Struthio camelus: one gene and its partners. The protein of the gene in region 2 interacts with the protein of the main gene of each other region in a pairwise test. Links are inferred from orthologs where the notes say so. Each region holds a gene or a part of one and is shown on either strand. Other genes may lie near its edges. The genes, in order: JUP, CTNNA3 and PKP3.

What was found.
Region 1: the proteins of CTNNA3 (region 2) and JUP interact in binary tests that used the Homo sapiens proteins (3 or more experiments, as listed by UniProt). The link is inferred for Struthio camelus from reciprocal best matches to the Homo sapiens genes CTNNA3 and JUP.
Region 3: the proteins of CTNNA3 (region 2) and PKP3 interact in a two-hybrid assay, tested with the Homo sapiens proteins (2 studies listed by IntAct). The link is inferred for Struthio camelus from reciprocal best matches to the Homo sapiens genes CTNNA3 and PKP3.

What each region holds. Positions count from the first base shown.
Region 1 is NC_090966.1:7,328,813-7,332,554, forward strand, and holds the start of JUP (junction plakoglobin), read right to left. Parts: upstream 2,656-3,742; 5' UTR 2,598-2,655; intron 1,755-2,597; exon of another isoform or gene 957-1,754; intron 1-956. UniProt on the Homo sapiens protein: Common junctional plaque protein. The membrane-associated plaques are architectural elements in an important strategic position to influence the arrangement and function of both the cytoskeleton and the cells within the tissue.
Region 2 is NC_090948.1:38,531,161-38,534,902, forward strand, and holds the start of CTNNA3 (catenin alpha-3), read right to left. Parts: upstream 2,232-3,742; 5' UTR 2,141-2,231; coding exon 2,116-2,140; intron 1-2,115. UniProt on the Homo sapiens protein: May be involved in formation of stretch-resistant cell-cell adhesion complexes.
Region 3 is NC_090946.1:7,801,719-7,805,460, reverse strand, and holds the start of PKP3 (plakophilin-3), read right to left. Parts: upstream 2,317-3,742; 5' UTR 2,247-2,316; coding exon 2,015-2,246; intron 1,732-2,014; coding exon 1,652-1,731; intron 1,560-1,651; coding exon 850-1,559; intron 565-849; coding exon 441-564; intron 201-440; coding exon 1-200. UniProt on the Homo sapiens protein: A component of desmosome cell-cell junctions which are required for positive regulation of cellular adhesion. Required for the localization of DSG2, DSP and PKP2 to mature desmosome junctions.

The DNA of each region.
Region 1 (3,742 bases), on a different chromosome or scaffold from region 2:
AGGAATAACCTTCACCGAAAAAAGCCTCCCAGCTGCAAAACAGTTGCCTACTCCAGCTGCTAGATCTGATTAAGGATTTTGGGGGGGGGGAGAGGATAGAATTAATGGGGATTAGGACAATGCTGAATATTAAGGTTAAAATACAGCGCTGGGACCAGAGGTGAAATTCTTCAAGGTCTCCAGCTGCAACCAAACGGCGAGCTGCCAGCGCCACCGAGGCCAATGTTTGAAGTCGGAAGCGGAGCGCCGGCTCCTCCGGACCGCGCCAGGGACGCACGCGCCTCCCCGGAGCCGGCGGCGACGCACCCGGCACAGCAGCGCCCAGACAATAGACCATAAAGTCTATTGTTCGAAAGTGACTGCCGCGTCGCTGCTGCACCGACTCCGGCGGGTCGGAGCAGGGGGTTTCCAGCAGCCACTTTTCAAACTCCTGGAGCAGGGGCAGCTTGAAGGACCCAGGTGTCCTGAAGACGGCCCCCCATCACTTGTGCTAATGCAGCTGAGAACAGCGCACAAGCCAATTGCCTTCCCCCCCCTTCACATCTCAACCATTTAAGCCAAGAGTTTTTTACATTCCTGTCCTAATGGCCAACTCGTTTAAGCCAAATCTGCTGTAAAATGGGTTTTTCATGACACTTCATGGAACTCCTCCAGAGCAACAAACAATTACAGGCTTCACTTGCACAAAGACAGTTTAATTGGGCATTCTGCACTTTTACTCCAACAAACATCAATAAAAGACGCAGGAAGGGACCTTTAGACCTCTCCAGATCCATTACCGGAGAACGACGCATCAAGCAAACGCCATCTCTGCCCGTCTCCTCCCAAGAAGCAGGGCATGGGCCAGCCTGGCCACACATCCACGTCCCAGCCAGGGATGCACCAGGCACAGCCCCAGCTGCAGACCCAAAACACCAGCTCCTTCCTCCTTCCGAAACACCAACGCCAAACGTTACCTGGGGGAGCAGCACTGCGTGAGGTTTGCTTCCCGTCCCGCTTGCGAGCTACGTCCACCCAAGGGGTTTCCGACCCCCAGGGAGTAGGTGGACAGCAAAGCCCGATCAAGTCCTACCAGGGATGACGCAGCTGCGGCCGCCCTGGGCCCCAGGGGACCAGCCAAGGACAGGCGGTGCGAGCCATCGCGGCCCTTCCCTGCTTGCAGGCACGGGGCTGGCGCTCACGCGCTCCTCTCGCGGCAGCAACGCCTCTCTCCAAGTTCCTCGTACACCAGCCTACGTTTTTTCCTCCCCAGGCAACTCCCAGCAATGTTTCAGCATTATCCTTTCATCTGCGCCGTAAACCTGATTAATTAAGCTAATCACTTTGCTAACGCAATTAGAGCCCTCGCTCCTCTCCAAATGCCAAGCAAAAATGACAGCAGTTTCACCCCCTCTCCATCTTCCTAGTTTCCCTGCACAGATCCTTGCTGTCAGCTCCTTGCAGGGGTTTTGGCTGGGGAAAAACTCCTTTTCTCTGCCAGCGGGCAGCCCCACTCGCAAACTTTGGTGCCGGCGAACCTCGGTGCTTCGCAGGTGCACCAGCTTCCCCGGGGAAAGCGCTCTGCAAATACCACCCGCCACGGCGAGCACCCAGCGGGGTGGCGAAGCCTGCGTGACTCGCAGCACGCCAGCCCGGGGCGCACCCCACGCGCGGCCGCGGCTCCACGCCAGCGCCCCGGAGCCGAGCGAGGCGCGGGCGGACCGAGGGGCCACGCCGAGGACGGCGGCCGCAGTTTGCAAAGTCGCTCCTGGAGTAAAGGAGCCGGAAAGTCCGGCCGGGCGCCCCGGGGGGGGGGATCGCTGCGGGCACCGGTCGGACCGGGTCTGCAGCGCACCCGCCTCGGGGGCTTCAGCTTGTCACCGACCCCCCTTCGGGGGCGACAATTCCCTCTTTTATACATATAGTATTTTATAATATGTATTTGTATATATAAAAGGCAGCTTCGCTTCAGCTCTGCCTCTAGCGGGAGCCTCTGCCCCGACCCCCGGGGGGGCCCCCGGCTGCCGCCCGGCCACTCCCAGCCCCGGACGCCGGGATCCTCCCAAACCCAGGTTAGGGCGAGGCGCTGCCGGACACCGGGATCCTCCCAGCCCAACCCCAGCTTCAGCCGGAGCCCGGACGCCGGGGCCCCCCCTCCCCACCCGGTCCGAGCCCGGCCGCTCCCGGACGCCGGGGCCCCCCCTCCCCACCCGGTCCGAGCCCGGCCGCTCCCGGACGCCGGGGCCCCCCCTCCCCACCCGGTCCGAGCCCGGCCGCTCCCGGACGCCGGGGCCCCCCCTCCCCACCCGGTCCGAGCCCGGCCGCTCCCGGACGCCGGGGCCCCCCCTCCCCACCCGGTCCGAGCCCGGCCGCTCCCGGACGCCGGGGTCCCCCCTCCCCACCCGGTCCGAGCCCGGCCGCTCCCGGACGCCGGGGTCCCCCCTCCCCACCCGGTCCGAGCCCGGCCGCTCCCGGACGCCGGGGTCCACCCTCTCCGAGCCCGGACGCCGGGGCCCCCCGCCCCGGTCCGAGCCCGGACGCCGGGGCCCCCCGGACGCCGGATCCCCCCCCCACCCCCACGCCCCGCCGCTCCCGGCCGCCCGCTCCCGGCCGCTCACCTGCGCCGCCGCGGCCCCTGCGCGCACACTGGCGGCCGCCCCGCTCCTGCCCGAACAAAAGGCGAGCAGCGCCCCGCGCCGCCCCGCCCCCGTCCCCGCCCCGCGCCCCGCCATTGGCCCGCGCCCCCGCCCGTCACGCCCGCGGCGGGCCGGGCGCCGCCACCGCCCGGACGTGTTTATCGGCTCCCCATTGGTGGCGACGCGGCCGCCCCGCCCCTCGCCCGTAGGTGATTGGCCAGCGGCCCGGCGCTGGGCGGGGAGGGCGGGGCGCGGCAGAGGGCGGGGCTGGGCGAGCCCGCGGGGGCGGGTGGGAGGGGGAAGCGCACCTGCGTGACGTCAGCGGGAGGGCGGGGCCAGGCCAGACCGGGGGTGAAGGGGCGGGGCCCGGACTCTCCCACGGGCAGGGGGCGGGGCCTGGGGAGGGGCGGGGCCTGAGCCCCACCTGGGCGGGGGGGGGGAAGGACCCCCCCCCAACCCGGGGCAGATGCATGGGGTGCAGGGACCCCCGGGGTAGGCAGGGACCCCCGCCCATCATGTACAGGGGGTGCAGGAGCCCCCCCTTGGGGCAGGTGTGTGGGGCAGGGGTGGACCCCCTGGGGGACGTGCATGGGGTGCAGGGACCCCTTGGGGGCAGGGGGCAGGCAGGGACCCCACTGATCACATACTAGGGGTGCAGAGACCCCCTTTGGGGCAAGGATGGACCCCCTGAGGGACATGCATGGGGTGCAGGGACCCCCTCGGGGGGCAGGCAGGGACCCCTTTGGGGCAGGGGGGACCCTTGGGGGCGGTGCAGGGGGTGCAGGGACCCCCTGATAAGCTCTGGGGGGTGCAGGGACCCCCGCCCCACGAGGGGGGCAGCTCCCGCTTCCCAAGCTTCCTCTGCGGCCCCGCAGCCGCTGAAGCCCCCCGCGCGCCGCCAAATCCATCGGGGCTGCAGCTGCCTCGTGCATTATTTATGGCGTTTGCATCGAGCCGCCCAGAGCCGGCGGCGCGGCCGGGTCCGGCCGGGGGGCCTGGAGCATCGCCCGGCTCGGGGAAGGGTCCCCGTGCAGCCCGGATGGGGAAACCGAGGCAGGCAGGCTGGCTGGGGGACCAGCCCCCAGGGTGGCCTGAGGCGCGCCGGGGAGGTGACGGCCGCCTGCGTC
Region 2 (3,742 bases):
CCCGCATGTCCCTGCTCTTCTCAATTTGTTTCTACATCTGAACTTGACTCCTATTTAATAGCTTCTTAAACTGCCTCTCTCATAATAAAATCAACAATGCATTAAGCCATTTGGAGAAACTGCAGGGTTGGCAGATAGGGTGTGGTGCGTCTATGCCCTCCTGTTAACAAGTTGGTGTAGCGTAAGAACTTCCAGCCACACAGCAGAGAAGCATCCAAGCTGCTGAAAAGTTGCTTCTTCTGATGAGGCCATTGAACTCCACAGGATACCGTCCTCCAGCTTCACTGGGATTGCATCAAGCCAGATCTTTCATATCCTTGAAAAGTCCTTTTCAACTAGCTGGCATAATCTTCACCAGCCTCACAATATATGGGCATCTTTTAAAATCCTTCACAACTACCGCAAATCCATGGTACTGATTCTACTGTGAATTCTTTCCAGGCAAGATCTTAAATCAGTAGCAAGGGGACATTTAAGAACTGGACAGAGATAGCCACTCTGTGCTTCTACTAAGATTTGAAGAAATCACAAGATGATTTTCACTTTATTTTTTTCTGCAGATATAGTCATGCTTTAAGTTTGTCGTGGCTTCACCTCAATTCATTGATAAAAGGGTTACTGATTGCTTTACTGAAAATTCAGAAATAAGATCTTTGTTGCTTGCAGCAAGAGCTGCCCTCCTTTCTTTCTGCACATCTTCCTATGCTACGGATCAACTATGATGGTCAGATCTTTTACAAAATTTGGCAGATAAGATACAGCTGTAATTATAATCACCTGTTCTTATTTGACACCACTCTGCTCCGGAGCCCTGTGTCTGAACAGTCTCAAAGTTGAGAAGTGTTACAAATCCAATTCCCTTTTCAGCTCAGAAAAATCTCTGTGGGCTGTCACTTTCTCTCTCTCTTCTCCATTTTTTTTTTAATCCTACCATGTTTTCTAAAATAGGCATTTTTATTCTTTGCTTAGGTCCTGGCACAACCACTTTTGCAATAGTGATCTTGCATTTCATCAAGCCCATAAATTCTTATCATTAACTGAAAGTCAAAGCCAAAAGTCACTTTCATTGTGAAAATGCTTTCATTTTCTGAAAATTTAAATTATATTCAAAGGCACACATAACTATTCAAAGGCTGACTAGCTGATTCTAGGGTTTTGGGGGTTTTTTTATGCTAATACCTCCTGCTAAACTTCCTTAAGGCAGTCTAAATATGAAAACTAACTTGCAAGCCAACGCAGTGAAAACTGCAAATTCTTAAATCATTTTGATACACTGACTTCAGATTCTTAATTTATTAGGTTCTCCCTACTGCTATTTACTATATTAGTAAATTAGTATTTATACAGATAAAGACTTTTTATCAAGGCAAGGGTAATGTGATAGAAAAGAAAAATATGCAGGCAGTAAAGATCATTCTGGGGCTCTTTCTGATATTTCCACTCAGAAAGCAAACTTCTCTCCTTCCAGACAGCTTCTTCATTAACCAAACAAGTTTTAGTGCTCACCTCAGGAAAAAATGGAGATCAAAGCCCAGCATATTTTAAAAATGCATATATCTACTCCAGTATAATCTGCACACTAATTACAGTACAGATCTTGACTGTGAGATATTTTGGTAAAAGACTGCTATAACCTCACACTTGGGTACATTAACCTTTACAGTAGGCAATTTCAGCACCGCAGACCATCAGCTCTCATAACACTTAGGATGTTAAGCACATGTCACAAGATACAGTTCTTCTGTCTCAGAAGAGCCAGAAAAGCAACCACCTGCACACTTCTACCAGTGCAGCGTACTTTAAGATAACACACATTTTGTCTTTTCAGCAGATGTGTCCAAACTGAAACTGCTGAGTTTAACCTGCTGAGTTAAACTGCTTCAGTTTAAGAAAAAAAGACACTTGAAAAACAGTCAAAGAAGTTTGCATCAACCTGCAATAAAACGTGACCACAGTATCTGCAGCTTTTAGATAATGTGTAAGTACACTGTACACAGACATAAACTAATTAACATCAGAAAGCAGAGTCAAAGATATTCTGCATAAATTAGACAAACTTAACTTCGGAATCTAATTTCTGCTAAATCATTAGAAAGCCAATAGCATATCACTCACCTATCCTAGAACACAAATGGTCCATATGCAGCACTAGAGCAACTGTCTATGTAATTTCCTTGTGTTAGGAACTTCAGCGCAACTGCTAAGGCTCACTATTTGGCTTCTGAGGCATCTGCAAGCCAACTGCCTCACAAGCTCTCTAGTGTATTTCAGGATGAGTGACAGGACACAGTGGCTGCTGGAGGGGTGGCAGGGGGATGGGCATCCTTAAAGCTATATACTAATGCACAAATATGCCCACAAAAATTTAGAAATCAAAAAAATGCCTTTAAATCCGTTTTGAGCAACATGAAACATGTCAATGCCGTTGCCTGTGGTGCTTATTCTTGTCATTTTCAACATCGCTATTATTTTCCCATCATTCTGGTTGTATGCCAACTTCTGTCTCAAGGCAATGACTCAGATTCAGACTTTTGAACTAGACAGCAAAGGGATTCATCAGGCTCTCACCCAATCACTTGGCACCAGATTTGTTTTCTTTCTTTTTTTTCCATTGTATGTTATCCTACACTGACATACACTACATTATCCTACCAAGTTCATAAAATGCACAGGCCTACTGCTTTTTAAAAAGCCAGAAAGACACCAGAAACTGTATTTCATAAAAACAAAGTAGTCTGGATGTGTATTTTTAAACAAGGAACACATGCACAGGAGACCAAGGACTTTCAAGACATTAAGCACTGCTGAGAGTATTTAACTGAATATGTTTTATTACTTGTTCTTAATTTTGTATTTATTATATAACTACATCAATTGGTGTCGACACCACTCTGGGACACTAATATTTGTCAGCCCTTTTACTACAGAATCAGCACAAGGAGTGCAAATCAGGTTTTAAAGAAGTAACAATAACAGTGACTATGTTTTCCTTTAATCCGCTAGCTGATACAGAAAATTCAGACTGCAGAGGAGTTATCTGTTAAAATTTACTAGTCTTGTTTGCAGTAGAACTGCATGGAGTTTTTCTGCTTGAAGGCCTACTGCACTTTGTGGGCAGTACAATGGAGCAATACCTCTGACACCTGGGAAGTATCTGAGGAAAACCTATAATGCACCTCACACGTTATTTAGTTCCACATAAAGTCATCAGGTTACACTCTATCCACATTAGATTTAGTCCCTTTTTATCATTACTAAGAGGAAAGACGTCTGCTAATGTAAAGGCAGCACAAAGGAAAAACAAGCCTGAGACCTGAAGAACGTGACAAGATTCAGATATCAGTTAAATAATATTTATTCACTGAAGGCTACTTTATTTAACAAGGCTTTACATTTAAGTAGATTCCCAGTGAAGTAACTGGAAGACATTTTTAATACTGAGAGAAAAGGTTTGTTTGGTTTTTTTTGATATTTCCTTTCATTTCCCTCTGTGTCCACCTTCTCTCAATAGCCATTTTTGAATCCATTGGCCAACTTGAACCACATCCAAAAGACAGACGGAAGTCCCAAATACACTAGATTTATATCAAATTCTTAAATATAGTTCTCAGAATAAAAGAAATAGCTAGAGTCAGATATCATCCCTCTTAGTAAATTCACCAAGGAAAAGAATGCAGCATGAGCCTAATTCTTACTGGACACAGGAGGCCCCACACAGTAAGAGATACAGTTTATGACTGAC
Region 3 (3,742 bases), on a different chromosome or scaffold from region 2:
ACGTTCTTGCGGAGCTCGTCGTCGGGCTCCCGCAGCGTCCGCATGAGCTCGTAGATGCCATTCTCCTCCACCAGGGCCAACTTGTTCTCCGCATTGTCGTAGATGAGGTTGCGCATGGCGCCCGTGGCATGGCGCTGCACCTCCTGGTTGGGGCTGTTGAACAGCTTCACCAGCTTGGGCATGGCCTGGAGGCTGCGCGCCTGGGAAGAGAGGGCCCGGCTGGGCTGAGCCACGGACGGCGCTCCCCACGCGGTCTCTCCTTCGTGCCGCTTGCGCCCAAGGGAGCTGGTTGCTGGCTCTTTGCTCCCGCTTGGTTGGGGAAGAGAGAGCGCGGGGCTCCCTCCATCTCCTTCACCCTCCCACAGCGGCCCCACCAATGCCGAGGCGGGGAAGGGTGTGTGTGGGGGGGAAATGTTCCCCTTTGGCTTTTGGGTGCCCACCTGCTTCTTGGCATTGCCGTCGCTGTAGCACTTGTGCTGGAGGTAGGCGGCCCCCAGGACCTGCAGGTTGGGGTCGGTGGCGATCAGGTATTTCACCGCAGAGGGCAGGTCGATGTCATCGAACCTGGAAGCCACAAGCGGGCGAAGAACAGCCCGGGCTAGAGCGTCCACCGGGGCCTCTACCTCCGTGTCCCACCACGTCCCACCGGCATCTCGGAGGAGACCCACCAAACCGTCTCCCTTCCCCAAGGACCCGGCTGAGCGAGCGCCTTGCCACCCTCGCGTCTCGGGAGGCAAGTCGGCGGCGACCGTGCCCGCCGCCTCGCCCTGCCCGGCAACAAGGCGACGCCGGGCAGGGGCCGGAGGGACGCGGCGCTTTCGCCCGGGAGCAACCCCGGCCGGCACTCACCCGCCCGACTGCGGGGCGAGCAGCGGGCTGTGGCCGTCGTAGGCGTCGGAGGCGCGCCGGTCCCGCAGGCGGTGGCCGGGCTCGGCCAGGCTGCGCACGGAGGGGGCGCGGGAGCCGCCCTCCAGCAGGCGCGGGTAGGAGCCGCCGGCGCCGGCCGAGGCCTGGAGGCCGCCGAAGGAGGCGGCGCTGAGGCGCGAGCGGTGGTTGCTCTGGAAGCGCTGCAGCGTGCGCACGGCGGGCGCCCGGATGGTGCGGCCCCGCGCCGCCTCGCCCTCCTCCAACCACTCGGCCGGGCCGCCGCCGCCGCTCAGCCGCCGCTCGAAGGTGTAGGAGCGGGCGAAGCCGCCGCCGCCGCCGCCGCCGCCTCGGCTTTCGTAGAGGGGCCGGGGCTCCAGCCGCTCCGAGACGACGCTGTAGCGGTCGTCGGCGGCCCGGCCCGGCCCGTCGGCCAGCCGCAGGGAGCGCAGCGAGAGCGTGTCGAAGCTCTGCCGGGGCCGGTAGGCGCGCTCGTGGAAGGAGCTGGGCCGCCACGAGGAGCCGGCCGCCGGCGGGTAGCCGCCGCCGTAGCCCCGACCATCGGCCGGGCCCCCGTTGAGGGCGGCGGGCGGCGGCGGGCGGCGGGGCGGCCCGAGCTCGGCGGCCGAGCGCGACGACCAGCCGCCGCCGCCCTTGAGGGTGCCGTAGTCCTCGTCGCCCGGCGGCCGAGAGAGCTGGAGGTGGGGGGAGAGAAGGGCGGGATGAGGGAGGGGACGGCCGCCGATGCCGGCGCCCCCGCCGCGGCCCCTCCGCCGCCGGTACCTACCGCGGCGCCTCGGGCGTCCGAGCCGTCGCCCTGCGAGCGGGAGCTGAAGGCCGAGGGCGGCGCGGCGCCGTAGGGCCCGCCTGCGGGAGGGAGCGGGAGACGGGTCGGCCGTGGCGGACGGTCCCGTCCCCCCCCCCCCCCGCCCCGGGTCCCCGTCCGTCGCGAGCGTCGGCGTTCAACGGAGGCGCTTGGAGGCCGGCCAGCGCCGAGCCCCGGCCACGGCGCGCGGGGGGGGGGGGGAAACCGAGGCACGGCGCGGCCCCCATCTTGGGGGGGGGGGGACGACACACAGGCCCCAGGGGGAAAGCAGCGGCGGAGGGAGGGAGGGAGGAGAGGGGGAGGCAGCCCGGCGCACGTGCCCACCTGCGGCCTGGGCGGCCGAGTCGAGCCCGGCCCCGGGGGGGCGAGGGGCCGCCCGGCCCTCGAGCGTCGTCATGCGGAGCCGGACCTGCTCGCGGACGCGGGCGGCGCGTAGCCGCTGGGCCTCGGCCGCCGGGCCGCCCCGGCCGTCCAGCTGCCGGTCCGAGGGCAACGCCAGCGAGCAGACGCCGGCCTCGGGCTGCAGGGCCGAGAGGAAGAAGTTGCCCTCCTGCATGGCGGCGGCGGCGGCGGCTCCCCCGGGGCCACCTTAAGCAGGTGAGCGCGGCCGTGATGGCGGCCGAGCCCTTCCCCAACCCTTAAGGTGGAAGCGGGCCCGCCCCGCCGCCGCCACGCCTCGCCGGCCGGGCGTAACCGCGTGGAAAAAAAAAAAAAAAAAGGGGGGGGGAAACTGAGGCACGGTGACGGCCACCGCCAAGGAGTTGTTAGCCCGGGGGGGGGTGGGGGGCTGCTTTGCCCCAGCGCCTTCAACTCCCCCCCCCACCTCCGCCCCACCCCGACCTTTGCGTTCTTCAGCTCGCGCTGCGCATTCCTGAACCGAGTTGTGACTGGTCTCGGCGGAGCGGTTCCGCCTACCCGCCCGGTGGGCACGGGGCAGCCGGCCGGCGCTCGCGAGCGGCTCTTCTCGCCGGCCCGGCTCCGCGAAGGCCGGGGCAGAGGGAGAGCGGGACCCCGGCGGCGGCTCGGCGCCCTGGCCCGCGTCAGGCGGGCGAGCTCGGGCCTGGCGACCGGCTGCCGAGAAAGCCGAGGCAAGGTGCTGCCAGTGGGCGGCCGCACGGCGGGACAGGTCCCAACGCGACCCAGGCCAGCGCCCGGCTCCGCGGAAAGCAGCTTGCGCCCAAGCTAAAGGGCCGGGTTTTAAGGTGGGGGGGGGGGGGAACGGCTGCCGAGCGGGAGGGGGGCCCGTCGAGAAATAGCGAATGGATGCAAAAAGCACCCTGGGCGCTTCCCAAAGGGATCTGGACGCGGTCGGGGCACCCGTCCTCCTCCTCCCCCTGCCCACCCGGCTCGTCCTTCGTCTAGCGGGGAAACTGAGGCACGAGGCGGGCAGGCAGGAGGGATCTCCTGGCCGAGGCAGGGGCAGGCAGCCCCCCGGGTGCCCCAGCCCGTGGGCGCGGGTGGCACCGCGGGGCAGAGGGGCCCGGCCGTGCGGCCGCCGGACCCGCGGCGAGGCAGCGACGTACCTTGCTCGGCGGCCCCGCGGGGCCGTCGGCCTGCAGCATCCCGGCGGCGCGGCGATGCCCCCGGCGCGGGGCGCAGGCTTAGCCCAGGCGCCGCTTCGGCGGCGTTTGGCACGCGCGCTCCCGAACGCCGGCGCTTCCCCCGTCTCGCGCCGCAACCTCCCGCGTGGGATGGAGCGGGAGGGCCTTCGGAGCCGCCGAAACGGGCCAAACCAGTTCGGGGCGAGGGCTCCCGCCAGCTCCGCGGGGGCACCCGGCGAGGATGCGGCGGGCAACACATCCCGCTCCGAGCCCGGCCCTGGGTGGAGGGGGGCTCTGGTGAGCCAGCACTGCTGTCACAACTGCCCCGTTCTCAGCCCGGGCGCCGCTCGCCCCCCCCCGGCTCCGAAGGGGGCAATCCCGAGAGCGACGGGGCGCCGGTGGGCGGGGGGAAAGGAAATCCCAGCCAAGACATCGATTTTATTTCGTAAGAATAAAAACAAAACCCAACCAAGAAAAAAAAAAAACAAACCCCAACCCCCCCCCCCCCCCA